4 linked regions of the Arabidopsis thaliana genome follow. The protein of the gene in region 1 interacts with the protein of each later gene in a pairwise test. Each region holds a gene or a part of one and is shown in the gene's direction. Other genes may lie near its edges. The genes, in order: TCP11, TCP5, ERF8 and TOC1.

Region 1 (7,374 bases):
TCTGGTCGTCATTTTTTGTGTTGCACTTTCCAAATTTCGGGTGGTTATTACAACACAAGGAACCACCATTCTCTACATTATATCCTTCAACATCTGCCAATATCACAAAGAATTGAAACAGTTTTGTCTAATATGAATTCATGGAATTTTGTAATTAAAGTAATAAGTTTGTATTGAAACACAAAAATAAGTTTGTTAGAGTGTAAAAACTTGAGAAAATACCCCTAATTATAAGAGAGAATACGTACCAATAAGTGAGAAAGTGAGAATAAGGAGCAAAGCAAAGGAAAAAACTTTCAAACCAGCCATTGTTAATAGTTTTTTTTTTTTTTATAAGTGTTTATAGATGATTGTGAAAGTGATGATTTTATTATAATACAATGAGATGTTTATATACACGTAGAGGTAACTAATCACAATTAATGTAAATATATGAATATACATAATTAGAGGATTGATATATTCAAGGATATGAATGTATTCTTTGATTGATTGTGAAGATACGATGGTATCCGTTTAAACTTGTTTTTGGTAATTCTATGGTAACGTTTTATTTAGTCTATTGGAAAATTCAAACCCCTTCATGCTCTGTTGTACAGACAACTTCTTCTTGTTGCAAATAACAAAACACCTTAAAGGCTAAAATTAAATACTGATTTTTACGAAATGGGCTTCTTAATTTCTTAAGGCCCATATATCTTTCCATCTGAACAATTTGTAAGCCCAATTAGAAGCCACTGTAAGTTATATAAAACGAAGTTTGTCATCGTCTTCGTCGGTGAACCTCCGATTTGACTGCACCGTCGGAGCTCGACGCTGAGCTAAGCTTAACCAAGAGCTGTCGTATATTACACTAGCAGTGAAGATCGAATCTTAAAACCATGGCTTCTCCGACCAATTCACAGAAAACAGGTAAAATAAAACCTTTAATACGCTCAAACCCTTTCACTCGCTGGCCGATTCGACTCAATCCCTTTGTTGTTTCGTTCCTTCATCCATGGATTTCTCATAGGTTTCGGTTAATATGATCTCTCTTTTGCTTTTTTTGTCATCCATCGTATTGAGACCTTGAGCTATTTAGTATTTAGCTAAGTTTCTGAATCTTTATGGTGTAATTGATGTTGCTATTCGTAAGCTAATTGATGCCATAGATTGCGAAAAGAGAAGTTGTTTCTTCAGTATTCAAGAGATTTGTGTTCTTGTGTTCAAGTTTAGATTTCAAGTTATTTTGTAATAATGTGGAATCAGAAGGACAAGTATGTCTATTTTCTGTATATTGATTTGATGAGGCCTAACTTCTTCTTGTCTACTACCTTGTAACAGTTTCGGATGACGAGGAAGTTGATTACTCCATCAAACCGGAGTTCTATGATTCAGATATTGATGATAAAGATGAGCTTTGGATGGATAAGAAGAGAGATGGTCGTACTTCTGATGCTCTTCTTAGCTGTCCAGCTTGTTTCACCACTGTCTGCTTAGAGTGTCAGAGGTATTTTCCTCTCTCAACATCAGAACTTGGTGTTTTATCTTCATACGATTGTTATATCCCATCCAGGCTTTGCTTTCTCAATGTTGCTAGGGCTCCATTGTTCAATCCTCACCAATGTGTTTGCTAATATATTGATAGTAACTTGCTAGATTCTGGAATGTTGACTTGATTATGAGATTCTTGACAATTGTTACAGGCTCTAGGTTTTTGTTAGGAATGACAATCTTGGTAGAATCCAAACCAGTTATATGACTTGATTAACGAGAAAAATTTCTACTCTCAGTCCAATTCCCAATCCCAAAACCCATAGGTAAATCCAGAACTACCTTTTCTAGCTGCTAGCTCTGTAGCTAACTAACTCAAAGATTGCTGATACAACTACTATCCACTACACACCGCCTAGGCTATTACAACACTCATGCGATAGACTAATATAAGGACTTTATCACAATGGATTTCTTTCTTTCCTCTTCAATCCGATGATATTGTTTTGTTTATGACTTGATCCCTTTGCACTTCTTTGAACTTGGTTTTAGTATTATAAACTGCGGAACCAAATTAAGACAATCTGAGTAAAACTTTTGCAGGCACGAGCAGTATGTGACACAGTACAGAGCAGTCTTTGTGGTCAATTGCAAAGTAGGTACAGACACAGTTTTGCAACAGAATACAATGCCCTTAAAGGTTGGTAAAAGAAGGAGAGATTCCGAGATGCAAGAAACTGGTTCTGAAGATAGCGAAAAAGTTAACCCGGTCTTTTGCTCAGCTTGTTCCACAGAGATCGGAGTAGTTGACAGTGAAGAGATCTACCATTTCTTTAATGTCATTCCAAGCGAGCCTTAAAACAACCTGGTTTTATGAGTTATTTGTAACGAGTTCTAAACAGGTGATTAGGATTAAAGTTTCGATTGTTTGCGTTAATCTTTACGTTGCATGTATATCGTTTGATAAAAATCAAGTCACTAGAGAATTTTGAGTTATACCAAAGTCAGAATCGTTCACAGTTCACATGATTAGTAATTTAGTATCAAACAAATACCAAATACAACAAACTACAAAGCGAGTTGGTCTCTGAACGTCTTTTAGTCACGCTAGTCAAATAGATGGCAGAAGATAAAGCGATCCTCTCAGTTTAAAAAAACGAGATGACGTGGATTATTCTGATTGGTGGAGTAAGCTAAGAAAATCTAGAGAGGCATCGCCAAATGAGAAAACTAGAAAAGAAGATATTTGTATGAAACACGAGTTGATTCTCTTTTGACAGAAGTGTCACTTTCTTGTATTTTCGTCCACCAACCCCCATACTAATAATTCTATACAAATTCCCATTAATAAATAAAGGCAGATGAGAATGGGCTCCAGCTGTTTAACACATTTGACAATTGTCAAATGATTCGTACACATATTACTATTTTAAAATAAAATAAAAAGATTAGAATATACTATAAGCATTTTTGGTAAATTGGTGATCATTAAAAATTTCTATGCATTTATCCAGCTAACCCCACAACTAATCATTCAAATCCCAGTTAATCACTCAATATAACTTTTAACATGCGCCGGTCATTAATAATTGTCAATTGTATCATACAATTTGTATGTAAGCTTTTGTGGCAACGTTTTCTTTTAAGAACTAGCTAGTTCAATTGAATCCTAGCAAGTAGCTACGAAATGTGACTAAAATTTCTCTACGAGTCTCTAGTTTGGTGGTTCCTCAGCTGTGCGTCGTAGTTTCAAGTTTTTACTATCTATCATACTTTAAGCATGCACAAAAATATTCTTTTCATCGCTTTTGATAGCACCTTCACGTATTATATCGACAACTTTAAGAAGTTGGCTTGGGTATAGTTTTTAAAAAAAGGCATTTAAACATCACTCATGGTTGTATCGTATGGGTACGGCAATCATCATAACAATTATTTCTGTTAAAGGATTTCACAATCATATAACAAATATTAAGACGATAATATAGTATAATGTGCATTATATATTCATCATGAAAGAAATTATTGTCGCGAAACAATTTAAAAAATCTCGACGCAACGACATATCAAAATCGGCATATCTGCCAGGTGGGCACGGCTACTTTTATTATGCCACGCTCCAAATGGAATGATTTGTTTTATTATTGCTTAATGGGTAATAAGAATTTTGATTATACAAATTGCACACACGAACGCATATCGTGTGGGGGTCACAGTGGTTGGGTTATACTCAGATTAGTAACCTGTGTCATAAAGCGCGTAATTGTCATTTCTTTTATTTGAGCTATTTATTTATCCTAGAAGTTAAATAAAAAATAAAAAATAAGAGACAATCACAAATTAGTAGATGTGAAATTATAAATGACTAAAAATAAATAAATTAAAATCGTACAAAATAGAATCGTAATCAGTGTAGGTGTAAAGTATACTCACCAATCAATTACCACCATTGATTGTCTCTTATTCCTCATCTTTTCAACTATTGTGGAAACTGGAAACAGCTTTTGTCTTAATTGCAATCTAATTTCCCTACATCCTATAAAATGCATTAAACTCATGAGGTAAACGTGTATGATTACTGTGGTTACAAAGCATAAAACATATACTACTTCATTCTAAAACAAATTTTATCGATAAGAAATAAAGGTAAAAATCAGCATTGTTGTGGTTACATGTCACAGAAGTAATAAGAATTAGTAAAAACCAAAATCGAATTCATATTATTCTTGTAACGCTACTTATTTTCTACGAATCCTAATTACTCGTAAATTAGCTAATGTAATTCAAGCAACCATATAAATGGGGACCCCAACTAACTCCTAAACCTAAAAACTTAAATTCTCCTGCCCGACCGTGGTCCAACGCTATAGTCAACACCGGAGTCAAGCGCGTGAGCTTCAACCGCGTCCGGACAAATTAAAAAAACCTAGCAGAAGTGAGCTGTGTGGGACCCCACCAGCCATGTGCTCTCCTTCCTGTCTCCACCAGCCTAGCTTCCTCTCAAATCATTACCTCCTTCTTCTTCTTCTTCTTCTTCTTCTCCTCGAGAGAGAGTTAGATAGTGATAACGAAATCCTAATTCCATGGCCGACAACGACGGAGCAGTGAGTAACGGCATCATAGTCGAGCAGACGTCAAACAAAGGACCTCTTAACGCCGTTAAGAAACCACCGTCTAAAGATCGACACAGCAAAGTTGACGGAAGAGGAAGAAGGATTCGTATGCCAATCATTTGCGCAGCTCGAGTTTTTCAATTGACCAGAGAGTTAGGTCACAAGTCCGATGGTCAAACCATAGAGTGGCTTCTCCGTCAAGCTGAGCCTTCTATCATAGCCGCCACTGGAACTGGCACTACTCCGGCGAGTTTCTCCACTGCTTCTCTCTCCACTTCTTCTCCGTTTACTCTCGGGAAACGTGTCGTCAGAGCGGAGGAAGGAGAATCCGGCGGCGGAGGAGGAGGAGGGTTAACAGTGGGACACACAATGGGGACTTCGTTAATGGGTGGTGGTGGTTCTGGTGGGTTTTGGGCTGTTCCGGCGAGGCCGGATTTCGGACAAGTCTGGAGCTTTGCAACCGGAGCTCCACCGGAAATGGTTTTTGCGCAGCAGCAGCAACCAGCTACACTCTTCGTCCGCCACCAGCAGCAACAGCAAGCTTCCGCCGCCGCAGCAGCTGCAATGGGTGAGGCTTCAGCAGCTAGAGTTGGGAATTATCTTCCGGGTCATCATCTCAATTTGCTTGCTTCTTTGTCTGGTGGAGCTAACGGGTCGGGTCGGAGGGAAGACGACCACGAACCACGTTGAGAAATGGTATTGTCTTTTTGGTAATGTATAGAAAAATTCCTATGTTTTATGTCATCGAAAGTGTTTAGAAAGTACCTCTAATTTGCGGTTTCTTTTGCTCCTTTTTTACTTAATTTAAGCTTATTGCTTGTTTGATTAGGGTTTTAGGGTTTAAGAATATTTGGTCTCGTTAATTTGTTTCGGAGAGTGATAGAAAGAGAGAGAGATTGATTGATTGTTGTACCTAAAACGCTATAAAAGCTCTGTTTTTACTAGCGAAACAGAGAAGTCGTTTAACTAGTGATCATTGCCATTCAATCAAGTCTCTTTAGAAAACTAAAGAAACAGCAAAAGAAACAAATTTGAAGTTGTCCCGTTAGTTTTAAGCATGAATTCTATTATGGTTCGTTCGTTAATGAAGTTGTCCCACTATTTACTCTTTCGTAGTAAAGGAAACAAATTTGAACTCGGGTTAACGGAGCCGGTCCGGATGATAATTCAGGTTCCACCAAAAACTTTTAAAACTAATAACAAGCCCATCCACTATCCAGAGCAGTATAATCGTAAGCTTCAAACACAAAAGAAATACTTCAATTTAACTCATCGTTATCAGTTATAACCGGAACAAACCGATAGGGGACCATTGGATCAAACCGTCTCGAACCGGTAACCCTAAAATAGTCTGGTTCTTGAAATTTCGGTGATCCTGCAACGTTTCTTCTCATCGATTTTGACCGGAAGCTCCTTGATTCAAACAAGACTTTTCTTATCGGGGAAGATCAGACGGAACAGAAGAGATCTCTGTGTTTACAAAAGTAATTCCTTGATTATAGCAAGCAAAGAATAAAGGGTAAAGGTGTAGACTTTGCTTCTCTCCTTCAAAGTCCACGCGATTCTCACTGTCAGCCTCTGCGAAATTTCCAGTCTTTCTCGCATTTTCCCTCGTAGCAGCCGTCAATTTCAACTGGGTATGTCTTAGATCTTCGTAGCGTTTACGGTTCCTGCTCAATTCTTCGTTTCTCGTGGTTTGACAGTTGAGTTACAGAAAACGAGGACGAAAAGCCTAATTGAAGAAATTAGTGATTAGAATTTTGTGATTCCGTGAAATTTTAGTATTAGTAAGTATAGACAGAATAGAAAAAAATCCCGTACTATTCATCAGCTATACATATCTGTTTGTAATTCTTTGAGTAAGATCTTCAATTCTCATGTGAAAACTGTGTTTTGAATGCTTGTCATAGATCAATTGTTGGATTAAGAAACATTGTAGTTTAGTGTTAGAAGAACATTAATGTGAGATTTGTTACATTGATTGACATTAGTGTTCCTGTGATTTGGTTTTAAAAAATCTTTGGTGAAGTGAGTTGGATTGGATTTTACTTGAATGCTTGTTGTTTCCCATCTTTTGGCTAATGATGTTCTTTGACCTTCTCGGGTCTGTTACTCGCATGTTTTTTCAGGTCTAAGTAATCTTGTGAAGACTCAATGACAGAGATATTTAGTGACACCGGGTTCAGACAGTTAACTCAAATGTTCCTGGCGATAATCTTCTTCCACACATCGGAGTACATTCTCGCCATAGCCATTCACGGAGCATCGAAAGTAACTTTAAGCTCACTCTTAATCAGCAAACACTATGCTTTAGCAATGCTAATATCAGTCCTCGAGTACATAGCCGAGATTGTTTTCTTCCCGGGGCTGAAACAACACTGGTGGATCAGCAATTTCGGTCTTACAATGATCATACTTGGAGAAATCCTTCGCAAAACCGCGATAATCACAGCAGGTAGATCGTTCACACACCTTATAAAAATTCGCCGGGAGGAGCATCATAAGCTTGTGACAGAAGGAGTGTATCAAATCATGAGGCATCCGAGTTACTCCGGGTTTCTCATTTGGTCTGTGGGAACGCAAGTAATGCTCTGTAATCCAATTTCAGCGATTGCGTTTGCGGTTGTGGTGTGGCGGTTCTTTGCAGAGAGAATACCTTATGAGGAGCATTACTTGAAGCAATTTTTTGGGAGACAGTATGTGGAGTATGCGCAGAGAGTTCCTTCTGGTGTTCCTTTTGTAAACTGATCCTTAGATCAATTGTGAACATATACGAGCATTGTTTGAT
Region 2 (7,689 bases), about 22 Mb from region 1:
GTCTTATTTTCTTTTATTTCTGTGGAAAAATACACACAGTTCCATCATTTTCGTTTTGATAAATATTATTGAGATTCTGTTGTTTAGAGTGTTTCATATTATTAGATCACATAATCCAGTAAATTTGGCAACAACAAAAAAAAGTTTAGGAGGAGTACTGGACTAGTTAGCTATATTTTCTTAAGATTTTTTATTCAACCTTGATAAAGTATATAATGAATGAATTTACATTAGAAAACAAAGATGCTTTTATTGACCTAAAATGTCTTTGATGGTTAAAGATTTAAAGAAAACAACATGTTGTGAGTTTGGATGCAAGAAACTGTGTTCCCACATCAAAAGACAAAAATGTCCAATTCCCTAACTAAAAAACTGAAATTTGGATCAATCACATATATACAAATATTTTTGGTTGCAAATGAAAATTTGGTAGGAATAAACAAATTAGTAAGTATTTCTAATTCTTACGGATAGTCAACTGCGAGAAACCTTATTTTTATTATTCGGTGATATGATGCTAATTACTACCAGTTTTCTTCTCCTACATCTACAACATTTTTTTTTTTTTTTTTTTACATCTACAACATTTTCCCTTACAAGTCGTTAATATTCAATTTAAATTCCGCTGTAAGAAAGAGAAATCGTAATTATGTTGAAGAAAAGTATAGGACATGTAAACATTCTTAAAATTAGGACGTAATTAATCTACAGCGTGAGCCGTGAGTTAGGGCTTCTATTGCCTAGCTAGATCTATTTAGGAAAAACAACCTGGTTATTCATTTTTTATATTTTTTTAAGCAGATGGAGAACTTATTTGAACAGACTGAAATTTCAATTTGGCAGAGTTTTGAAATAAATTCAGCCTAAAGTCAGAAGTGTCGAACATATACATACATGTTACATGTATACAAACATACAATTTTAACGTATTTGGTATTTTCTGTACAACTAATGATCACAAGATCCTATATATATATGATCCAAAAGTCGGAGGAAATTAAGCCAAGAAGCTCAAGTCACGTCGTCGTCGTCGTCATCATCATCCATCCCTATATATGATTCGGTTGTTTTTTTGTCAACATGATGATTAAGTTAAATTATGTGTATATATATAAAAGGCAGGAACAATTTAATTGTATTCACATAATTCGTTGCCAAATCCTGTCATACATTCCCAAAATTCCCTAAAATATGATCTTGTTAATAGTTTCTAGCTTATTCCTTAAGCTTGAATTTACGTTAAATCAATTTTGAAAGAAATTAAGGTTTTGGCTTTGACAGACGTTACCAACCAAGCAATGACTAAAGGCGGCTTTGGTAGTGGGCTGCTTTAGACGACGGGTAGGTTTGGCAAGCTTCTTTGTTGGGACAAAAAAATTGTTGTGATAAATTTCACCACAAGTTTTATGAACATACATCATAATTAATATTGTTGCAGCATATATTAGTTAGACCAATATACCACTGACACCATCTATATAAAAGTTAGTACATGTCTATCACAGTACCAAAAAAATGAAATGTACAAGTCTATCTCGCTCTAAGAATAATTTGTGTTTAAAATATACCACCATATCCGGAAAGATCCTTGGAAATGCCTTTAATGAAGGCTTCCAATCGCCTTCTTAAAATAATCTGTGACATTGTGTTGTGATCATCTTAAAATGCCTTAAAATTGTGTTGGATAATCTACGGAACCGATGTGGAAAAAGAAATCCATGGAACCTTTGATTTGAGATGAACAGTTACCACAATTTATATGATCATTAAAATTATACGATATATAAGTGGTTCATATTTATTTAATATTTTCCCCATATTTAAGTGAGGACCAAAAAACTGATACAAAACTTTTTCTTGCAAAATTACAAATGTAACTTTGTTACAGTCAATTTCATCTCAAGATTACATAATCAAAACCAGAGTTCTTAATTTGAAACCGTACAGTACTATATATGCAGTAACTCAATATTCTTCGTAAACAACCAGTGTGGGTTAAAGGCGCGGTCAATTACAGAAGACTTTATATATAGTAGTGATCAAGTTGGATACAAAGAGGAAAGAAAATGGTTTGTGATTGTGGGCAAAAATCTCAGTGGCAAAGACACTTAGAAGAGAAGTGGACCACAAATCTCTTTGTGAGTATTTAGGCATTAGATGCTTTAAAGAAAAACCTATACTCGTTGGTCCATTCTCTATCTCAGAGACAGACCCTTACCTCCTCTAGCTGTCAATCTCTATTATATTTACTTATATATGTTGATATTAAAACAAAAAATTTATATATATGGATATTTTCTATATATGCTTAAAAATATAACCCACAAGTAGTTAATTAGAAATAAAAGCAGTATTCCCAACAGTTTGATTTTAACAAGTCTACATTTCATTATCACTAAATTTAGGGTTTCAACAAGTTGCTTCGTTAATAATGAAATTCAACAATTTATCTACAAATAAAACTTTTCATTTTCCAAAACGACAGAAACTCAAATGAAATGAGCGACGACTGTAAATAAATTGGTCTTTCCATTTGTTTATATTATGAATTTTTTTGAATTTACTAAAATTTGGTTTCATAAAACTTTCAAACTCGATCTTGTATATATATATGTTTCACAGTTCAAAGTTCAAACCACTTTTACCATTATTAATTTACTATACATGTACTATATTTTTTTTTCACTTTAAAAGCTCTTGTTACCATTTATAACTATTAATTTGTCAACCGTACACTTTCTCTTAAATGACCTTAACCGTATGTTTATATTTTTGTTTAAGATAAGAAGACAACATAGATCACAAACTTGGGTAAAAATTAAATCATATAAAATTCAAAATGAATGTCTAACACCAAGGAAAGGGAACCAAAACTTGAATACTAAAATATATTAAAATTTATTGTAAAGGTTTTTTTTTTGTCAACTATTGTAAAGTTTTATATATATAAGATTTATGTGACTGTGAGTGTAACGAAACATGCACATTCCCATCACAGTATCAATACACTACATAAATTGCTCCTCTTTTGTCCTTCTGCATAAATTCCTTTCATACCGAAAAAAAAAAGCCCTAGGGATCGGAATATAATACTTAAAAATATATCTAATTCATTTATTATTTAACTTCCCCAATCATTATAATATACATATGTAATTCTAGTTTCCAAAAAAAGAAATACTACACATTCCTCTGCCTCCTTATCTCTTTCTTATTCTTCTTCTTCCTCCTTCTTCTACTTCTCTATCAAGCTGGATCTTGAAATAGGACTCAAGCTTACCAGTATTCAATCAACGTAAGAACATATAACCTTCAACATGTTTGAATTTCAAATTCTTATGAGCTTTCTTTTCTTTGATGCAAACTCAAGAAAGAGATATTATTGCTTTGTTTTCATGTGAATCTCGCTCCAAAAACATATTTAAAATCAACAATTTCATTCAATTGAAAGCTAACAACAACTAATTCTTGTCTTCTTGATTTATTTTCTATTAAATTGGTCAATTTATTCCCTTCTTGTTTCAGATCTGTTCTTTACACCAAATTGAGTACTGAAGATCTTGTTGAGTGAATTAAAGAGATGAGATCAGGAGAATGTGATGAAGAGGAGATTCAAGCAAAGCAAGAAAGAGATCAAAATCAAAATCATCAAGTAAACTTAAACCACATGTTGCAACAACAACAGCCGAGTTCGGTATCATCTTCAAGGCAATGGACTTCAGCTTTTAGGAATCCAAGAATCGTTCGAGTCTCAAGAACATTCGGTGGCAAAGACAGACACAGCAAAGTATGTACAGTCCGTGGTCTTCGAGACCGGAGGATAAGGTTGTCCGTACCTACAGCTATTCAACTCTACGACCTTCAAGATCGATTAGGGCTGAGTCAGCCAAGCAAAGTCATTGATTGGTTACTCGAAGCAGCAAAAGATGACGTAGACAAGCTACCTCCTCTACAATTCCCACATGGATTTAACCAGATGTATCCAAATCTCATCTTCGGAAACTCCGGGTTTGGAGAATCTCCATCTTCAACTACATCAACAACGTTTCCAGGAACCAATCTCGGGTTCTTGGAAAATTGGGATCTTGGTGGTTCTTCAAGAACAAGAGCAAGATTAACCGATACAACTACGACCCAAAGAGAAAGTTTTGATCTTGATAAAGGAAAATGGATCAAAAACGACGAGAATAGTAATCAAGATCATCAAGGGTTTAACACCAATCATCAACAACAATTTCCTCTGACCAATCCGTACAACAACACTTCAGCTTATTACAACCTTGGACATCTTCAACAATCGTTAGACCAATCTGGTAATAACGTTACTGTCGCAATATCTAATGTTGCTGCTAATAATAACAATAATCTCAATTTGCATCCTCCTTCCTCGTCTGCCGGAGATGGATCTCAGCTTTTTTTCGGTCCTACTCCTCCGGCAATGAGCTCTCTATTCCCGACATACCCTTCGTTTCTTGGAGCTTCTCATCATCATCATGTCGTCGATGGAGCCGGTCATCTTCAGCTCTTTAGCTCGAATTCAAATACCGCATCGCAGCAACACATGATGCCGGGTAATACGAGTTTGATTAGACCATTTCATCATTTGATGAGCTCGAATCATGATACGGATCATCATAGTAGCGATAATGAATCAGATTCTTGAATGATTTTATATATCTACACTATACATTGAAAATGTTATATGTATACGTATTCTTCTATATTTTGATATATATGCGTATTGTTGGATTGGTTTATGTATCTTCTTCGTGTATGTATACACTTTTTAATAGTCTCGGATTTAGATTCGAACAAAGACATTCATAATGCGAGGATGGTTGTTATTTCTATATATGTTTTAGTTTTGAAGGTAGTTTTTGCTTCCTTAAGAAATTATATGAATTCTACTTGAATGTCTTTCTCTATTCATTTATGAATATATACACTCGAATAAATGAATTGTACAATATAGGTATCTCATAACTAGCTAGCACTTTCATCCTAATCCATAATCTAGATTAGTTAATCATATTTCATATGTTAGGATTTAGGTTTTACATATATGGAATTTTTTATTGTTATCACGAATGTGAGAAAGTGAATAAAAACGCAAAGAACAATAATACTTTTCAAAATAGGATGGAGGAAAAACAGATTCAGAAAAAGAAAAAGAAAAAAAGAGTATTAACATAACCCTAATTCAACTTTAAACCAAATAGGTCCATCGAAACCCATATGCTATTCTACCATCGTATGACCAGATTCAAAGCATTTCACCAATCACCATTATATATATATATATAGGCATCACAATGTTGCTAAGAAAAAACATTATGTAATTTTTTTAATCAAAATATGATATGATCTATCTTAATCATCATTATGCAATGATTACATAGTCAGGACTTGAATTGGATATAATCGTATCTACAAATTAATTTTGATATATATATCTATAATTAACTACAAAAGTACAAATTTTTACCGCCAATGTAATAATGTATATAGAAAAGTCATGTTTGTTCACAATGCAAATGAAAGAAATCGAAGGGGTCGTTGCTTGTCATGTGTCAGAAAAACACCAATAAGTTTCAAATAATTTTATGTCCACAATCATTCATTTTCTTATAACTACGTATATTTGTACGGGCATATTAATTATGAAATGTATTCATAAGAACATAAATATATATCCATGCATATATATTATATATTCTTTATATATAGAGATACGAACTTAGAAGTATAGATAGGTTACTGTTCACAATGCCTAGAAGCACGGCAATATGTATTATGTAATGCATGCCAAAACCCTAGACTCGTGTGTATATATGAGTCACTCCCACAATCATGCATATATAACCTATGTATACATATGTGAGTATATATGTACTAATTAAGAAAGTGATGGTTACCAAAAAAACTGTGAATATAGATATAATAATAGTACGTATGTAAGGCAAATTAGTTGTAATAGCTAGCGGTTTCCTCATCTCCGTATTTGCTGACTTTTGATCATCAATTTCTCAAATATCAAAGTTCAAAAATAATCGCTGGTAGTCTTTAGTCAACACACAACTGATTTCAACAAGAGAGCTAATAAAATGTGATATGATTATATTCATAAGTTCATTCACATTCACGTGTTTGAGGCGGGAGAGAGATTATATTTAGGGCGAAAGCAATGCAGAGATATATGCATGTAAAAGAGTGATCATACGGATCAACATGCTTATTTACAGTTCTCAACGTTTTCGTTATATTCTTAATAATTCCTCACTTTAATTAAATACTGTATTCATTTTGTTTCAAACTAAGTTCTATGTTTTTTCACACAATTTTAAGATTTTTTCTTACACATATCTATTCCACCGTTTAGTTATTTTTTGAAATAATAACAAAGCTATCAAACAAACTTGACTTTAAACATGAGAAAAATCTAACTTAGTTACTCCAAATTGATTCTTATAACTTATTATTGGTTATTCTCTTCCTTTTTTTTTTTTTTTTTTTTTCTGTTATGCATGTATCCACACTTAACTTTTTTCACAAACTTATACAGTCTTTTAAAAATTATACTACAAAAATAATCCTTCATTTATTAATCTATTGGGTCCTATGATTCATATCACATATTATTGTAAGAAAGTAAAAAAAAAAAAAAATTGTCAATAATATGCTTCTTATTCGTATATAACTCTAGTGTAGACTATATATAGATTATCTCCCTATATATTTCCTTATTCTACTAAATAATTGGATATATAATGTTGACACATGATATATATAATAGTGGAACCTCCTTATAACCTTGAGGTCGTGGTAGTAAATTCGTAATACCACCAAAATCAAATAAATAAGAATAAATATGTAAAGAAAAAGGAGAATTAAGTAGATGATGGTGAGTATTGGGATTGGAGGGTCAGAGAAGGAAAGGGAAAGAAGAGAAGCAGTTAAGACAGCAACTGAATTGCAGTCAAGCACTGATCCCTATCTTCCAATATTAGTCATATCCCTCTCTCTCTCTCTCTTTCTTTTTCAATAACTCTCTCTCTTCTCTCTATCATCTTCTCCAAGTTGTAGGGTCATTAACCTTCCATTGGTAAATTATTGGTTTTGAAAACATAACTTATTTTTCCTTTTTGGTGGTCCTTTTGATCTTTTCTAAATCATGTGTTTAGATATAGATGGGCACACACTTGTCAAGAAAATTCAAAGATTCGCCATTTTTTTTCCTTTTCAACCAAGATGATCTATAAATTCGTACACCACATCTCTTCTAATAGTTAAAATTTATATTCTCATACTTAAATAAGTCTTTTAGTTCGCGAGATTGGGTTTACAGTTTGTATCAATTAAAAAAATGGTTGGAATTCGAAAGTTATACATTCTCTAAGAACCGTGTTATTGAAAAAAACCTTTATAATTCTCTAAAGATAATTAAATACTAATATTTTGTTATTGCAGTGAGACTCACTGTAAGAGCATGCGATTTTTTGAAAGAAAAAAACTTACAAGGGGCCTATAATGATAAGCGGTTATCTTATCTTACATGTGTGGATTACATTATATATGTATATATATATATATATATCTTAGTTAATTAGAGGAGAATTGTAGTTGCTCAAGAGAATATGTACGTTTTGTAGAATCTTTTAGTGGCAAGAGATAATTTATCTTAAAATGGGA
Region 3 (6,947 bases), on another chromosome or scaffold:
TCTTAAAATCTTTTTCGAACACGTGGTGTTACTCACAAAGATTATATTCTTTGGTTCGATAATTTAATTATGTAGATACAGTTTGTAGTATAGTATGTAATTTAAATTTGCTATGGCATGAAATTCTCAAAGGTTTAATTATTAATATCAAATTGTTTTACTAGTTTTGCTTTTAGGAAACGAAAAAAAACTTTTTTGAATTCAACGTGACATAGAAGTAATTTTGAATAATTAACACAGACTAATGATGATGATGTTTATTTCTTTTCGTAAATTACCAATTTAATCTGTGGACACACACAAAAGATAACCAATCCATTAATCAAGGCGTAAAGATCCAACAAGTAAGGTGTGAAGTGTCGACTGTTGACCAAGTCGTTAAGAAAAGAATTTAAAACAAAAAACAATGAACGAAAGTAATAAAATGGATAATGACGTCACTGTCTTGGTCTTCTCCTGCCGTCAAATTAAATTCCGTCTTTACGAAACTGAAAAAGAATCGACTTGACGGTGGTCCCACCTTCGTTAAATTTGCGGTTAACCGACGCGGGTCTCCATCCTTTAATCTTGTCCCACGTGTCTTTATTATCCACGTGGCATAAGAGAATCCAGAATAAAAAAATGTAGAGATTTTGGGTTTTAGCGTTAGGGGCGGCTGATTTTAGCTTATGTCACCGTCAAGAAAAACGTTATAACGCTCTTTTGTCGAAACGGCTTACGTGATCGTCACGCGTTATCATTAAAACGCGGTTCCTGAGCCGCGCGTCCTCGTGATTGTGCCACGTTTCTGAAGAATTCTCGCTCGGCTTTTTGATGCGCCGCTGATTCTTTGTTGTTGTTATTAAATTTAAAGTTGATGTTGTTGTTGTCCGTAATTTTCCAGATTCTAATGCCAATATCTGCGTCTCTTTAATTGTGAGAGGAGAGCTTTTAATTTCTCGCTTGTTGTTGCCAATTTATTTCCATCAGAAAACACTTCAGAAAAAAAATGTTCGTAACATTTGAGTATGATGGCATCTAAACTAACGCACTTTATATAGCAGATCGTCTTATAGGTTGTTTGGTAGTACAATCAAGATTAGGAAAATAAATGGATTCATTGTGTGATAGTATGTTTCCACCGTGTGGAACTTATGATGCATTGATTAATCACTCAATTTTATAACCTTTTCTGTTACAAACATGTGCTTTGCCTTGGAGTCTTCCTATTCTACTAGATTATACTTATTACTTAACAGTAGTTGACATACAATAGTCTTCTAAACTACAAAAAAAATACAACAAATGTATTCGATAGTATTCTTTTTCTTTTTACCAAATAGGCATGTAAAAAACGATCAATTGGGTTGGTTATATGTCAAAATAGGGAGACTCAAGACAAAACGAGACTCAAAACTCTCGGTTAAAGAATGCCAATCAACATGAATAGAGATGTCAATCATTAGGCCGACAGTAGGTCTTGGTGGCCTAGTCAGGCTCAAGAGGCAGTCGATCAATACTCATTCATGGTATCGATCGATTTTGTCGACAAAATGGAATTGGCATGATGAAATATCGATCAATTATTCAACAAAATAAATTGACTTGTCTTGCCTCTAACGGGCTGTTGATTGATGCAACATAGAAGCTATCGATCAACACCTTCATTTCTTGTATTTTTTTCCTTCAGTTTTGCTCCAAAAACTTTAATCTTGTTCGAATCCAGTTTTTATCTAAACTGACTCTATAAATACCAGAGATTCTTTATAACACTGAAAACTTATTGAGTATATTAGATTTAGAAGTTTAGTAAATATTCTAACACCTCAAAGTTTGAGACAGAATTTTTAAGTTGATCAAGTTATAACAGTATTCTGAAAAGTGTATTTTCCAATCTTATTGATATGTTTCATTCACGATTTTTTTTTCTCCTTTCTCTTATCCCTCGACGATTGAATTTAAGATCAGATGTTTTAGCCCGTCTAGCCAAAATGTTTTTTGAAGACATTGGCTTTGTAAATTATACTCATTTGGTTTGAGCGATAATCAAGAAATTACTTTACAATTTAAGTTTGAATTTGGCAAAAAAAAGTTTTTGTTGTGCGTTTATTTGACTAGATTATATTATACTTTACTCTAACTACAATCATATATATACATTGGTAACACGATAGACAACATATATAAAAGTCTTTTAAACTATAAAAGCCAACATATATATTCCATAGTATTCTTTAAAACAAAAACAAATATGCATGTAAATAATAGATTTGTCTTTTTATTGTTGTCACTGTAGCGACATTTTTTTCCGTCACTGTAACAACGTATATTTTCTCCACAGAACTAACAAATTCGAATCTATTTGTTTGATGGTGTTCATTTTTAATCCAATGTACATATGCAAGTAGTAGATATCTCTTTCTTTTTTGTATATACACGATATATAAAATAGTTCACTAAGTTATAAATCTAAAAATTTATTTTGATAATATTTTGTTTACCAAATAAATACACAAATAGTATATATGCGTTGTTCGTCATGATATCGTCATATATAAAATCCACTACAATATAAAATTTTGGTCATTTTGTTTGATAATATTTATTTTTCACCAGATATAAGCATGTAAATAATAGATTTTTTTTTTCTTGTCGGCTCGTTAACGACATTTATAACGGAATAACGGTATACTAAAGTACAAATTTTTATTCTATTCCCTTTATACCAAATAAGCTTTCATGGTAACATCCGCTAAATTATATATTGTCATCATGGTAACATCCGCTAAATTACAAATTTCAAATAATTTTTACTTTTACCAAACAGAAAAGTAAGAAATATTTTTTTGTCGACACTTTAACGATATATATATGTAACGGTATATAATTTACAAATTCAGAAATTTTGTTCGCTATATATTTTCTTACAAATTTTTTTTTTTTTGTTTATGTGTTAACAACATATATAACTACAAATTCGATAATTTTGTTTGAATATTTTTTCTACTAGATACACACACAATAGTTTATATTATATATATATATATATAAATCTTGACCTAACTAAAACATATAGTTTAAAAGGGTGTTATTAGTTCTTAATTAATTAAAAAAAATTCAAGAATCTGATAAAATCATAGATTGTAAAGAAATGAAAGTTTCTAAACTATTATTATAGAGTTTTCTATAATCTTGTTGATTAGTTTTTCACAATTTCTAAATTTTCTCAAACAATCTTTCTTTTTTAATGATACTTTTCGTAACTTTATTTTGGAAAAAGTGTAGAAAATCATAAACCAATAACACAATAATTTAATTCATTGACAATTATAGATTCTTTTGTTTTAGCTAAATAATATAAAATTTATAATAATTTTATAAAAGTATAAATCCAATAACTATAGATTTATCAAGATTTTAAATTATTTTTTACAAATCTTAATATTTTAAATTTTTTTAATTGAATAACAATAGATTCTTTATAATATTTTAAGTTACTAAAACTTTAATTAAATCACAAACTAATAACACTCTTTAATAGTGTATACTAGTATTATTGTTATGTCATTATATAGATTTAAATCCGCATATTACATTGCTTTAATAAGAAAAATTACTTAAAATTGCAAAGTGGCGATATAACATGTTTTATAGATTTAGTACAAATATGTTCCTAGTTTAAATAGGGATAAATGCAGCAAAAACCAAATTATATTATATTCTTAATAGGCAGTAACTTAATTTATAAGATTGTGATTTGTGCAGTCTTTGTTACAAAGGTGAAAAAGGGTAATAAATAAGATTCTTTTGGAGAAAGAGAAGTGAACACGTGGCAAAACATAAGTGGATATAATAACAAAAACCAGTTTTTATATGAAATAAGAGAAGCATGAGAGAGAGATAATTAAACCATCTCTCAAAATGGCTTTGACTGTTCACAAGAAAGCTCCCCAAAAGGAGCGTTGCTTTACTCTCCTATAAAAAGAAGCTCTTCTACTTCTTCTCGTTACCACAAAACTCTTTCACCGATCTTCTCGTTCCATTCTTCTTCCTAATTACACCATGCCCAACATCACCATGGGTTTGAAACCCGACCCGGTTGCTCCAACGAACCCGACTCATCATGAGAGTAATGCTGCCAAAGAGATTCGTTACAGAGGCGTTAGGAAACGTCCATGGGGAAGATACGCCGCTGAGATCCGAGATCCGGTTAAGAAAACTCGAGTCTGGCTCGGTACGTTCGACACCGCTCAGCAGGCGGCGCGTGCTTACGACGCAGCCGCGCGTGACTTTCGTGGTGTTAAGGCTAAGACCAATTTCGGTGTTATCGTTGGTAGTAGTCCTACTCAGAGTAGCACCGTCGTCGACTCTCCCACGGCGGCACGGTTTATAACACCTCCGCACCTCGAGCTCAGCTTAGGCGGCGGCGGCGCGTGTCGTCGTAAGATCCCGCTTGTGCATCCGGTTTACTACTATAACATGGCGACGTATCCAAAGATGACGACGTGTGGTGTCCAGAGCGAGTCTGAAACGTCGTCGGTCGTTGATTTCGAAGGTGGAGCTGGGAAGATATCTCCGCCGTTAGATCTGGATCTTAACTTAGCTCCTCCGGCGGAATAGGCCGTGAGTTTTTTTTTTCTTATGTCGTTTCTTTAGACAAAAAAAAATAACGTTTCCTTTTTTTTTCTGCCTAAGAAAAAAATATTATCCGTTTTTTAGAAGAAAGTGTAGAAAAGCTCCAATATAATTTTTAGCTGCCGTGAAAAAAAAGTCGTTATGTATATATTATTATGAAACCCTATTATAAATCGACGTAACATAAGAGGATCTTAAGCTTTTTTTTTTTCTTTAGTATTTGCCAAGGAAATGCATCATCGTAAATTCGTAATTGAAAAGATAAAGTATTATAGAGCTTTTTGGGGCTCGTGTGTAGAAGAAATAGATAAAGAATGGTAATGTTATTATTATAAGACTAAATATAGTGATGAGTATCGTCGTCGTCGGCTTGAAAAGACAATGGTCCAAGTGTCGTGAAGACACGCACCAATCGTGGGAGGACCGGACCCATCTTCTCTGGCTGCGGCGTACGTTAGAAGAATACTTCTTTACGCTTACGTCATTTTCACAGTTTGGACTGCTTTTCTAACTTTTGACTTTTGTGTTTTGCATCAACTCTTTTAACTCCGATGATTTATTAACAGATGGTTAAGAGTCTTGCTTAAGTTGAATAGTATTCGATTTGAAATGGTAAAAATGTTTTAAGGAAGTTGAAGATAAGAAGAGCGGCGGCTTCATAATGAGAGACAAAGGAAGGATGAGATTTGATTTTGATTCTTGTCGCCAACTTTGTGATCAAAAAACGTATAAAACAGTTATGCTCTATGGTCGCAGATCCAACGGCTGGAATCGTCATCGTTACCACGTGGACGCTTAACATAATTTAAATTCTTATTTCATATTTTTTTAAAGAAGTTAGTATGTTTTAAAATATATATATATGCATGCGTACAAAATCGTGTTAAGGGTTATAATAAAGGGATGTAAAATTGGGGCCTCTAGAAAGTTGAATAGTTTCAATTAAGCCCTTATCTTAACGACATTTAGCCCCACTCAACCAAATATACACCCATGTCATGTCACTACGCACAACTATGGATCACTCCCATAAGTAGATGTTTTATATCAATTGACGATTGCAACTTTTTTACGTTACAAATTTAATGCTGGACCGAAGGCTACCATACTAGGATCCGAAAGCCCGATCCACGTGTGGCGTCATCAGGACAATGTTTGCGACACGTCGGCTGAGGTGTTTGGCGCGGTGTTTATGATAACGGCGTTTACACAAACCTCTGTTTATGAGCTCTGTGACTGTGACTGTATGATTTTAGTAAAATAACGAAAACAAATACTAGGTCCTTTCGTTCTTTGACCATTTCTCCGACCAAAAAGGGACCACTTACTCATCTACGTATATTGGATAATACATTGTATTATCACCTTTAATGAATACGTGTCCTCTGTGAAGCTTCAGTGACCCAATGAGAAAACAAAAATGCTGATTTAGTGTGACCCCAAATTTTATTTATTTTGTACGTAAACAAATGTTTTCGTTGACTAAAGAAACTTTGCCATTGGGCGATGGCCTTTTATTTTGGATGAAAACTCAAGAACTTTTGTTTTGCTAAATTTCCTTGTTATGTTTAGGCCTCAAATAGAAAACTTAGCAAAACTAAAGATCTTGAGTTTTCAATTTTTCATCAAAAATAATGGTCCTTAGTCTTTTGAGTTTATATTGTGAGAAAGAGAGTCACGGTTGCTATTTATTTCTTTGTATGTTGCTATTTCCAGAGTAACGATTGAAAGATATACTCAGGTTGGGACTTAATCATCTAAACCAAGACCGAGCTGGTATTCCTGAGCATATGTTTGACTCACTACAGGTCCTCTCATGGTAATAACCCTTGTTAGTCAATTTTTTTAGTTTACAGCTGCATTGAGTTGTCTGATTCATGAACCACACAAGTTGCCACTTTTGTAGAAGAATTAACAACAAAAGATTGATGACTTTTGTCATATGAGAGAGTTAAGAGAAAGAAAAACAAAAATAATGATTATGAGTACTGGTATATGAATGAAATGGTAAGAGTGATTACATATTATCACAGATAAAAGGCAAGCCCTTAATTATACAACTAAGAATATGCTTCCTCTCTAAAAAAAACCAGGAAGGAAAAATAAAGATAAAACTAAAAAGGCCAAAATAAGGTAGAAAATGCCAATTAAAAAAAAAAAAACTTAAAATTTTATAAATACACCCTTTTTCTGAAAAAAAATTATACACATAAATACCAAAATTCAATGCATCAAATCAATGTAAGAGACACACAAACAACATTCTTATGTTCTGTCTTCTGTGAGTTTCTCAACTTTGGTTAAGATCACGCGATGTTTGACCTAGCCATCTG
Region 4 (9,247 bases), about 22 Mb from region 1:
ACAGATGGATCAAGCAAACTAATGGAGCAACTAAGTGTAACATCAATTGACAATGCCTCTTCCCAAAGCTCTCTTCCTTTCTCAAAGTTTCCTCCTTTACATAGTTTTGGTATGAGCAGATCATAAACCTGACCATAACCACCCACTGAGCTTCTCTTCATCTTCTCAAACAATTGAAGAGCAAAGTTAACCCGCTCGACCCCACAAAGAACCCCGATCAGATCATAATAGAATTTGCGTTCGGGTCTAAATCCTCTCTCGATCATCTCATCCACAATTTGGTTGCCTTTACCAAACCTTCCTGTCAAATACAGGACCCTCACAACGAAGTAATAGCTCCCTGTATCCGGATCACATCCCGATCTTTTCATCTGTTCTAAAATCTGGCAGGACTCTCTCACCCTCCTAGTCCTTCCCAAACAAGAGAGCAAAATGTTGTAACTCATAGACGTAGGTTGGATTTTGTAAGACCTCATCTCCAACATAATATTCAAAGCTTCAGGAACAAGCCCAGACGGGTTTCGATTCACGTTTCTTTCGCAAAGGCAGGTCAGCAACGAGTTGAAACAGAACAAATCCGGTGTAATCCCTGCTGATTTCATATCTTGTATAACTCTTCTTGCTTCCTTCACGTTTCTTTGTACCGACCACCCGAATAAAAGACTTCTATACACAGACAATTCATTCCCGGATATTACATCCTTGTGATGATGCATAACTCCCAATGCTCTCTTCACATGTCCTCTGGAACAAAGAGCGCTTATAATAGCCGTCACAGTGAAACCATCTTGTGGGCAAGAAAATTTGTCCAAGATCTTGAAGATACCTATTGCATCTTCTTCCTTACCAACCTTAACCAGAGTTTCAGCGACAATGCTAAACGTTTGCTTGTCCATCGCCCGATTCTCCTTCCTGAGATCTGATAAGAGTATCTGCATAGCTGTGTGATCCTTCTTCTCAGCCAAAACTCTTAGGACATAGTTGAATTCCTTGTCGTGTAAACTAGATCCCAAGCTTTTACACGACCAGGAGAAAAACCTCAACAGCCTTCTCGGTGAAGTCTCGTTCTTGCAAGACTCAATCACTTGGGTAACAAGGTTTGATGATGGAGAAACAGAAACCTGGTTCAAGTTTTCTTCAAGGTCATCTAGACCACCAACTGGAGAAGAAACTATCCGAATAACTTCATGCAACGCCGTTTCCGATCGGTCAACTAAATGGTGAGAGCAAAAGTAACGTGTCAGTTTTGCAGTACTCGTTAGATACGTAAACCTGTTTAATCTGACTGTGGTGGACATCATCTTCTCTGAGGAATTTCATCAAACACTTGATATGCGTATGCTTCTTAAAAGCCGCCAAATATAAACCATAGAAGGGACTCTCTCCTGACTTACATGTTTCTCAGAGTATTTACAACTTCGTTGTAAATTCTTTCAGCAACATGAAATTCAGATTTCTATTAAAAGACCTAAATTTGCAGATTTCATGAGATCGCTCGGCTCAACAACAATATATATTCATTTGTTGGAAACATTGCCCGCGTGTCTGAAAAGGGCATTTTAGTCTTTTACATTCCATCACGCTTCAAATTCAGAACCGGATAAAACCGATAATCGTGAGATACGATGGTTATAACTTATAAGTCACTAACCGGAATGATTACTCTCGAAGGCCGCCGATGCATATTGGAAAATCGAACTCCCGATAAAATAGTTCTGAAATTACACGAATAATTAACATCATAAAGTCATAAACAAGTTATTGGTCAATGGTCGATGGCAAAACGTAATAAAAGTTGGACCGGGACAAAACGTGTCTTACGGTGGATGAAGTTGAGAATATATCATGCATTATTGGTCCACTTGTACTAACGATATTCGCAGCTACTAATATGAGCCAATCGGTAATACGAAATATTTTAGCTTGTCGACTACTTACTTTCTATATAAAAGTTTAGCCTACTAATTATCTCTTTTTATGATTATGACAACTTGATTATTTGTTTCCCAACCACTGATGATGAGATTAACCATCTTTTTTGCTAAGAAGGTAAATATTTCATCTTGCTAATGTCCTGTTTACAAGACAATTTGCACACATACACTTATAACATTAGAAAAAAACACTTGAAACTTTGTTACAACATATCATTTAGCTTGATTTTTCAATCACTTTAAGAAGTTAATGAATCATAATGCCTAAATAAGTCCTCTATAACAACCATGAAAGGAGTGTTATATCTATAACCCTGTGCTTTTAGAAAGAATCATAATTTTTAGGAGTCTTTTGTGATGAGAAATTGAGATGTAATAAAAGTAAAATTTTCTATATCTGTATCTTTCGTTTTTTATTTTTATTTTGTTTGTATCTTTAATTCTTCAGTACCTAAAGATAACAGAAAAATAAAATTCTGATAATAGATTTTCTTGTTGTTATAAATATATTTTAATAAACGAAACGAAGCCGAATCCTAAAATTTGGTTTCTGATGGTTTGGTCTGATCTGGTCATATATTTTAAAAGAATTTGCAATTTTTTCTTTCTGTCGACCTTTTGATATGTTTGTTGATTTTGATATGGAGATGCATCTTCTTATCTTGTATCTTACCACAATAATATCAAAAACAAAAATAAATATCATGAGATATTTTCTCCAAGATGACGTGGCCTTTTCTCTATCTCAACCAAACTATCCAACACAACCTTTTTTTTTATGGCCTGCACTTTTTATTGTCCACGTCATCTCCTTGGCCTAAAATATCCCAAGTCCCACCATTAAGCTACACAACAACGCGTAAGAAAAAGACTTAATCTCCACCGTCCAATTCTATCCTCTTTCAACGGTCTCTGATTTACCATCTCTCTCTCTCTTTTTCGCGTCTCATAATTTGACCATTGATTGACAAAACAAAACAATGAGTCTTCTTTCTCTTCTCACTCTTCTTGTCGGAAATTCACCTTCTCTCTCTCTCCTCCTCATCTCACCGCCGGCGTTACGCCGGATCTCCGGTGACTTTTGTTGAGCTTTTTTGTTGATTCATGATTCGATATAGAGAAAAAAGAATTTCCTATTTCAGCTCTTTGTTCTTAGATTTATCTTTTTGTTTGTTCTTATGGATAAAGGATTAGGTTGGGGGATTAAAAGAGTAGTTTTTGTTTGGTTGTGAGATTACTTGACTTTGTTAAGGGGATAAATTAGGCGACTTTGTAGGGACACTGTACCGAAAAACCCTAGTTCTGATTTGGCCATGGAAGTATCATAGCACTTACTATTGTCGGCTTTACTTCTTCTACTTTTGTATAATCCTTTTTTTTCTTAGGTTCTGTGATTAGATATTTTTTTTGTGTGGGTTTAGTTGTTAATCTGATCATGGATTTGAACGGTGAGTGTAAAGGAGGAGATGGGTTTATTGATAGAAGCAGAGTCAGGATTTTGCTTTGTGACAATGATTCCACGAGTTTGGGAGAGGTTTTTACTCTCCTTTCAGAGTGTTCTTATCAAGGTATGATTTATAGGTTTGTCCTTGTCTTGTTCCCAAAGTTTCTCTTTTTACTTTGTTATTTTTTGCTAAGTTGGGATTACTACTTTAGATTGCAGATCTCTTATAGGTTCTTGTCGTCTGGCTTTTTGAGTCAGTATGGTCAGATGTGATCAAGATGACATTTTTAACCTTTGTTGATTTTAGTACCTTATTGATAGTTTTTGAATGCATCTCTAGTGTGTATTGCTTTCTATTTTTACACTATGCTCAACTGTTTGTTGTTCAAGACTCAATGATGATATATTGGATGAATTGTTTTTATTCTTTTTGGAATGCAGTGACTGCAGTGAAATCAGCAAGGCAGGTGATTGATGCACTTAATGCAGAGGGACCTGATATCGATATAATACTGGCGGAAATTGATCTCCCAATGGCTAAGGGTATGAAGATGCTGAGGTACATCACACGAGACAAAGATCTTCGCAGAATCCCTGTGATAAGTAAGCTGTGTTCTTTGTTGCTCTTCTCGTTTTATTATCTATTCGTGAAGTTGTATCTTCTCTGCTTATCAAAGTGCTTTTGACAGCATGATCATTAGCTTTATACTGACTAATCTTATAATATTCTCAATTTAAGTGATGTCGAGGCAAGACGAAGTCCCTGTCGTTGTAAAGTGCTTGAAGCTAGGTGCAGCTGACTACCTTGTGAAGCCTCTTCGCACCAACGAGCTTCTGAACTTGTGGACACACATGTGGAGAAGAAGACGCATGGTTTGTTTTGCTTGTCTCAAGTTCTCTCTATTTATCTTACTGTTTTTGAGCAATACTTGATAGCCATATCTCTCAATCTGTCGTCTTCTGAAATAAAAGACCTTGATGCATGAAGTTAATGCTATTGATTTCATATATTTGTTTTGGCAGCTAGGACTTGCTGAGAAGAATATGTTGAGCTATGATTTTGATCTTGTGGGATCTGATCAAAGTGATCCAAACACAAATAGTACCAACCTGTTCTCTGACGACACAGATGATAGAAGTCTTAGGTCCACCAACCCACAGAGAGGAAATTTAAGTCACCAGGAAAATGAGGTGAGAAAGTATTTGACAGTTTAAAGCCCTCTGAAAATGGAGAAGAACTGATTTTTTAGCTTGCGCTCATGCTTTTGCTGGTAGTGGTCTGTTGCTACTGCTCCTGTTCATGCTCGTGATGGTGGTCTTGGTGCTGATGGAACAGCCACTTCTTCTCTTGCTGTTACTGCTATAGAGCCTCCATTGGATCATCTTGCTGGGTCTCACCATGAGCCAATGAAAAGAAATAGTAATCCAGGTGATTGTTTCTCTTTGATGTCTCACTTTCTAATAGCTAGTCTCTAAAAGAACCTTTGTTTTAGTGAATTCTAATATAGTAGGGGTTTTGCAGCGCAATTTTCTTCAGCACCGAAGAAAAGTAGATTGAAGATCGGAGAGTCCTCTGCTTTCTTTACATATGTCAAATCTACTGTCCTTAGAACTAACGGTCAGGATCCTCCTCTTGTCGATGGAAATGGCTCACTTCATCTTCATCGGGGTTTGGCGGAGAAGTTTCAAGTGGTGGCTAGTGAAGGGATCAACAACACCAAACAAGCACGCAGAGCAACACCAAAATCTACTGTCCTTAGAACTAACGGTCAGGATCCTCCTCTTGTCAATGGAAATGGCTCACATCATCTTCATCGGGGTGCGGCGGAAAAGTTTCAAGTGGTGGCTAGTGAAGGGATCAACAACACCAAACAAGCACACAGAAGTAGAGGGACCGAGCAATACCATTCTCAAGGAGAGACCTTGCAGAATGGCGCCAGCTATCCACATTCCCTTGAGCGGTCACGCACGCTTCCCACATCAATGGAATCTCATGGTAGGAACTACCAAGAGGGCAATATGAATATTCCCCAAGTTGCTATGAACAGAAGTAAAGATTCGTCTCAAGTTGATGGATCGGGTTTCTCTGCACCAAATGCCTATCCTTACTATATGCATGGGGTCATGAACCAAGTTATGATGCAATCAGCAGCCATGATGCCTCAATATGGTCATCAAATTCCTCATTGCCAACCAAATCATCCGAATGGAATGACGGGATATCCTTACTACCACCACCCAATGAACACATCTTTGCAGCATAGTCAGATGTCTTTACAGAATGGTCAGATGTCTATGGTTCATCATTCTTGGTCACCGGCAGGAAATCCGCCTTCTAATGAGGTGAGGGTAAATAAACTTGACAGAAGAGAGGAAGCTCTGCTGAAATTCAGACGTAAAAGGAACCAACGTTGTTTTGATAAGAAGATTAGGTATGTGAATAGGAAACGCCTTGCTGAGAGGAGACCCCGCGTTAAGGGTCAGTTTGTTAGGAAGATGAACGGCGTGAATGTTGATTTAAATGGACAGCCTGACTCTGCTGACTATGATGACGAGGAAGAGGAGGAAGAAGAAGAAGAAGAGGAGAACCGGGATTCATCTCCTCAGGATGATGCTTTGGGAACTTGAAGATACACCAAGAACTGAAAACCGTTGTGTTATACGTATTTGCTTGCATCTTATCAAACAACAGAAGATGTTGATCGACTGACACGAAAAAGATGATACTGCTACAGCCAAAAAAACATCGAATATCGAGTTGTCTCTAAGGCAATGTTGGCTCTTGCGGCTCAACTTTTTGACAGAGCATTGAAAAGCTCTCATTGGGTTTAGCTTAGTTCGTTGATAAACATATAATGTATTTTATCATGTTCACTCACATTCTCTCAGTAAGTACTCAGATGTATTAACCTTTCTTCTCCTTCCAGTATCATTTACTTGAATCTTGTTTTTCCCTCGCTCTCTCACCTGTGTTTACATATATAATTATATATAATCGCTCCATGTCTTCCACCACTAAAGCTTCTGTCTTTCCTCGGAAAAACACAATACAAATGCAATTGTGTCACAGACAAGAAGCATATGAAAATCTAAATTTGGATTTAAGTTATCTGAAACTAAGAACATAATCAGCTGTATATCTACTGTCAGGAACAACAGTTCTGTGTTTCTTTCATGACTACATAAATAAATCTCTACAGTCCACTAAACTCTGATTTCTTTAATTCTCTGTGGTGCTATTGAGTAAGGTCCACTAATGTATAACAAGCTTTCTAGCAACTAGACGGATTCCGGCTCTCTGCTGATAATCATATGGCTCCAGAGACAAGAAAGCGTCAAGAACAGTTCTCGGATTCAACAAAGACTCAATCTCTTCAGCCTTGGGGTTGCTAGAAATGAGTTTCTGAGTAGCAGTAGCTCCAGAGAACTCTTTCTGGTGTATCTCAGCTGCGTACCGATCTATATCTCCATTTAACTCTGTGGGTATACTGCACATACAAAGAAATAATCAGGAAAAAAAGCAAATGAAATAAGTAAAGGAGATATATAGGAAAACATACTGTATCCTTGCAGTGGGACAGTTCAGAAATCCTTTCATTGGAATGACTAGAGGGTTCCAGTCAGAACCACTGCCTGAATCAACAGATATTGTCTGTGCAGCACTGTCGCATTCTTGAAGTACGTTGCAGAGACTTGGATACAGATCAATTACAAAGTTCAACCTCCGTCTTCCAGCTTTATCCATAAATTTCCCATTGATTCCAAACCGTACTTTCAGACGAGGACAATGGAGCTGAAGGGGTCTGTCCCCAAGGAAGAGTTGCAGCTTCATTGTTTGGCTCCCGTCATATAGCGGGACATGAGTTGCTCTGATACTTGAAACAGATATTTTATCTAGCTCCATGAATCCTTCCTGGTCACCGGTACCTTCAGAGGCAACAGTCTCAGACTGCTGATTTTGTTCTTCTTCCATGGGAACATCTGATTGAAGAACTTCAGGGGCTATTTCGTTCCTCAAAGTGCTCATATCAAATGGATCCGTTTGAGCTTCTGCGGATGAAACAAATGATAAAATAGGTATAGTTGTCATGTTCTCTCCTGTCTGCTGATCAGTGGGAGATTGCAGAGGAGATTTTTTTATAGTCCTACGCCTTCTTGAACTAGTTTCAGGAGTAGTAGTAGTAACCGAGTTCTCTATAAGTTCATCTGGAAGACTTGACTCCTGTTGAAAAATGGCATGTTTCTGAATTAGCTCCTCATAGTTACATCACTAAAATCTATTCTACAGAGCGACAGGTACACACAACACACGATAATCCATCTCGAAGAAGTAAAGAGAGCATACCAAGAACAAAACAGTGGCACAATACTTGAGAACCTCGAAGTTCATCCTTACATCGTCCAGACTCCTTAAGAGATAGAAATAAACATAGTGTACAAAGCATTAGAACTCAACCGGCCTATTAAAACACCGTAATGCAAAAAAACTCACATATATAAATTACCTATGCGTCTGGTTTCCAAGTCCAAAGTATGTAGCCAAAGTCGCCATCTGTTCAAACAAAGGCCACAGGAAAACAGAATAAGGAACCATCAAAACCGCCAAATTCGAATTCCATCAAGCAAATTCAAAATACACAGATGAATATCAATCATGACTCTTTGAGTATACGAGAAGAAACCATCTCAAAACAATAAACAAGTCAGGACCAGAGAGCAAAATTGTTACCTTCATATCACCAGCTCTTCTCCCAAACCTTTGAGTAAGCAAAGCCAAGGAGTCAATGGTGCCCTTTGGCTCTGGTGGATCTCGTCCAATCTCAGCAAATGCTTCTCTTATCCTTGGACAATCGAACTTCAATATGTTATGACCTGCCCATATCCTTCCTACAATAACCATTAAACCACAACATCAACACACTTGAACAAAACAGGCTCCAAAGTTAACAACTTTGAGCTCGAATTGTGTCCCAAAATTCTTGAAAAGAAGAGAGTTTCTTCTGTATCTTACCATGGAGAATATCGTAGACGGTGTCGGCGATATCTGCAAAGGTAAGAGCTGATTCGACGTCTTCGCGTTTGATGCCGTTGCACTTCACGGACCGAGGCGTGATGAGGTTGAGATTAGCAGGACGAACCAGAACAGAGTAGTTTTTCAGCTCCACAAGCTTCTTGGGGCAAACCAGAATCGATCCAAACTCCAGAATCGCGTACCCCTGACCAACTCGGAACGGAATTGTCGTCTCGACGTCGAAAAAGGCAATCTCTGAACGATCCTCAGCTGGAGTTAGACCAACCATTGTTAACATGTAAGATCGAATTGAGCGGAAAATGTGAAAAGGATTCAACTTTTTATCGAAAATGAGCAGAGATTTATATGAAGTATGAAGATAACTTGGTAAGGTGGGTTTCCTTTGCCCAATTTGCTAGGAAAAGGCCATCTTCTAAATTTGGCTTCTCTTTCTCAGTCGGTTTCCTCAGGAATTTCTATATTATTGTTTTGGTTTAGATTCGTTTTACATGTAAAAAAGATTCTTTCTCTCAAATCAAGGGAAAATATATTACTGGTCAAACAATCAAATTTTATAACATAAGTACAGAACTAAGTACATTGTGTTGTTTTTACTTTTTAGTGCATCGCCGGATCGCCCCTTAGATTAGATGCTACTTCCTTCGTCTGTAATCAAAGTCCCTTGACTTATTGACTGAGTTTAACAATTTTGGCTACTTTTCTTACATACCAAAATGCACCAAATTACTTATTTTCACTCTGTTTTAACCTCCTCATGTGGCTTCAAATTACTTCTGTAGTCTATATCATTAACATCATTAACATCTATAACGAACATAGATTACGAAGATTAATTTT

What was found.
Region 2: the proteins of TCP11 (region 1) and TCP5 interact in a two-hybrid assay, tested with the Arabidopsis thaliana proteins (2 studies listed by BioGRID).
Region 3: the proteins of TCP11 (region 1) and ERF8 interact in binary tests that used the Arabidopsis thaliana proteins (3 or more experiments, as listed by UniProt).
Region 4: the proteins of TCP11 (region 1) and TOC1 interact in a two-hybrid assay, tested with the Arabidopsis thaliana proteins (one study listed by BioGRID).

The regions. Positions count from the first base shown.
Region 1 is NC_003076.8:2,676,272-2,683,645, forward strand, and holds TCP11 (TCP family transcription factor), read left to right. Parts: upstream 1-4,129; 5' UTR 4,130-4,556; coding exon 4,557-5,276; 3' UTR 5,277-5,722; downstream 5,723-7,374. Other genes in the region: AT5G08315 (Defensin-like (DEFL) family protein), read right to left, coding at 1-93, 249-309; AT5G08320 (E2F-associated phosphoprotein), read left to right, coding at 882-912, 1,324-1,489, 2,077-2,332; ATSTE14B (Isoprenylcysteine carboxyl methyltransferase (ICMT) family), read left to right, coding at 6,741-7,334. UniProt on the Arabidopsis thaliana protein: Transcription factor involved in the regulation of the circadian clock. Acts as a repressor of CCA1 by binding to its promoter. No binding to the LHY promoter.
Region 2 is NC_003076.8:24,532,544-24,540,232, reverse strand, and holds TCP5 (TEOSINTE BRANCHED 1, cycloidea and PCF transcription factor 5), read left to right. Parts: upstream 1-2,988; 5' UTR 2,989-3,295; intron 3,296-3,525; 5' UTR 3,526-3,580; coding exon 3,581-4,663; 3' UTR 4,664-4,896; downstream 4,897-7,689.
Region 3 is NC_003070.9:19,819,191-19,826,137, reverse strand, and holds ERF8 (ethylene response factor 8), read left to right. Parts: upstream 1-3,885; 5' UTR 3,886-4,041; coding exon 4,042-4,599; 3' UTR 4,600-4,801; downstream 4,802-6,947. Other genes in the region: ATMAP4K ALPHA1 (Protein kinase superfamily protein), read right to left, coding at 6,905-6,944.
Region 4 is NC_003076.8:24,672,171-24,681,417, forward strand, and holds TOC1 (CCT motif -containing response regulator protein), read left to right. Parts: upstream 1-2,792; 5' UTR 2,793-3,369; coding exon 3,370-3,502; intron 3,503-3,819; coding exon 3,820-3,981; intron 3,982-4,117; coding exon 4,118-4,251; intron 4,252-4,401; coding exon 4,402-4,569; intron 4,570-4,653; coding exon 4,654-4,807; intron 4,808-4,900; coding exon 4,901-6,006; 3' UTR 6,007-6,380; downstream 6,381-9,247. Other genes in the region: AT5G61370 (Pentatricopeptide repeat (PPR) superfamily protein), read right to left, coding at 1-1,301; AT5G61390 (Polynucleotidyl transferase, ribonuclease H-like superfamily protein), read right to left, coding at 6,632-6,866, 6,939-7,600, 7,724-7,787, 7,884-7,930, 8,108-8,265, 8,390-8,687. UniProt on the Arabidopsis thaliana protein: Controls photoperiodic flowering response. Component of the circadian clock. Expression of several members of the ARR-like family is controlled by circadian rhythm.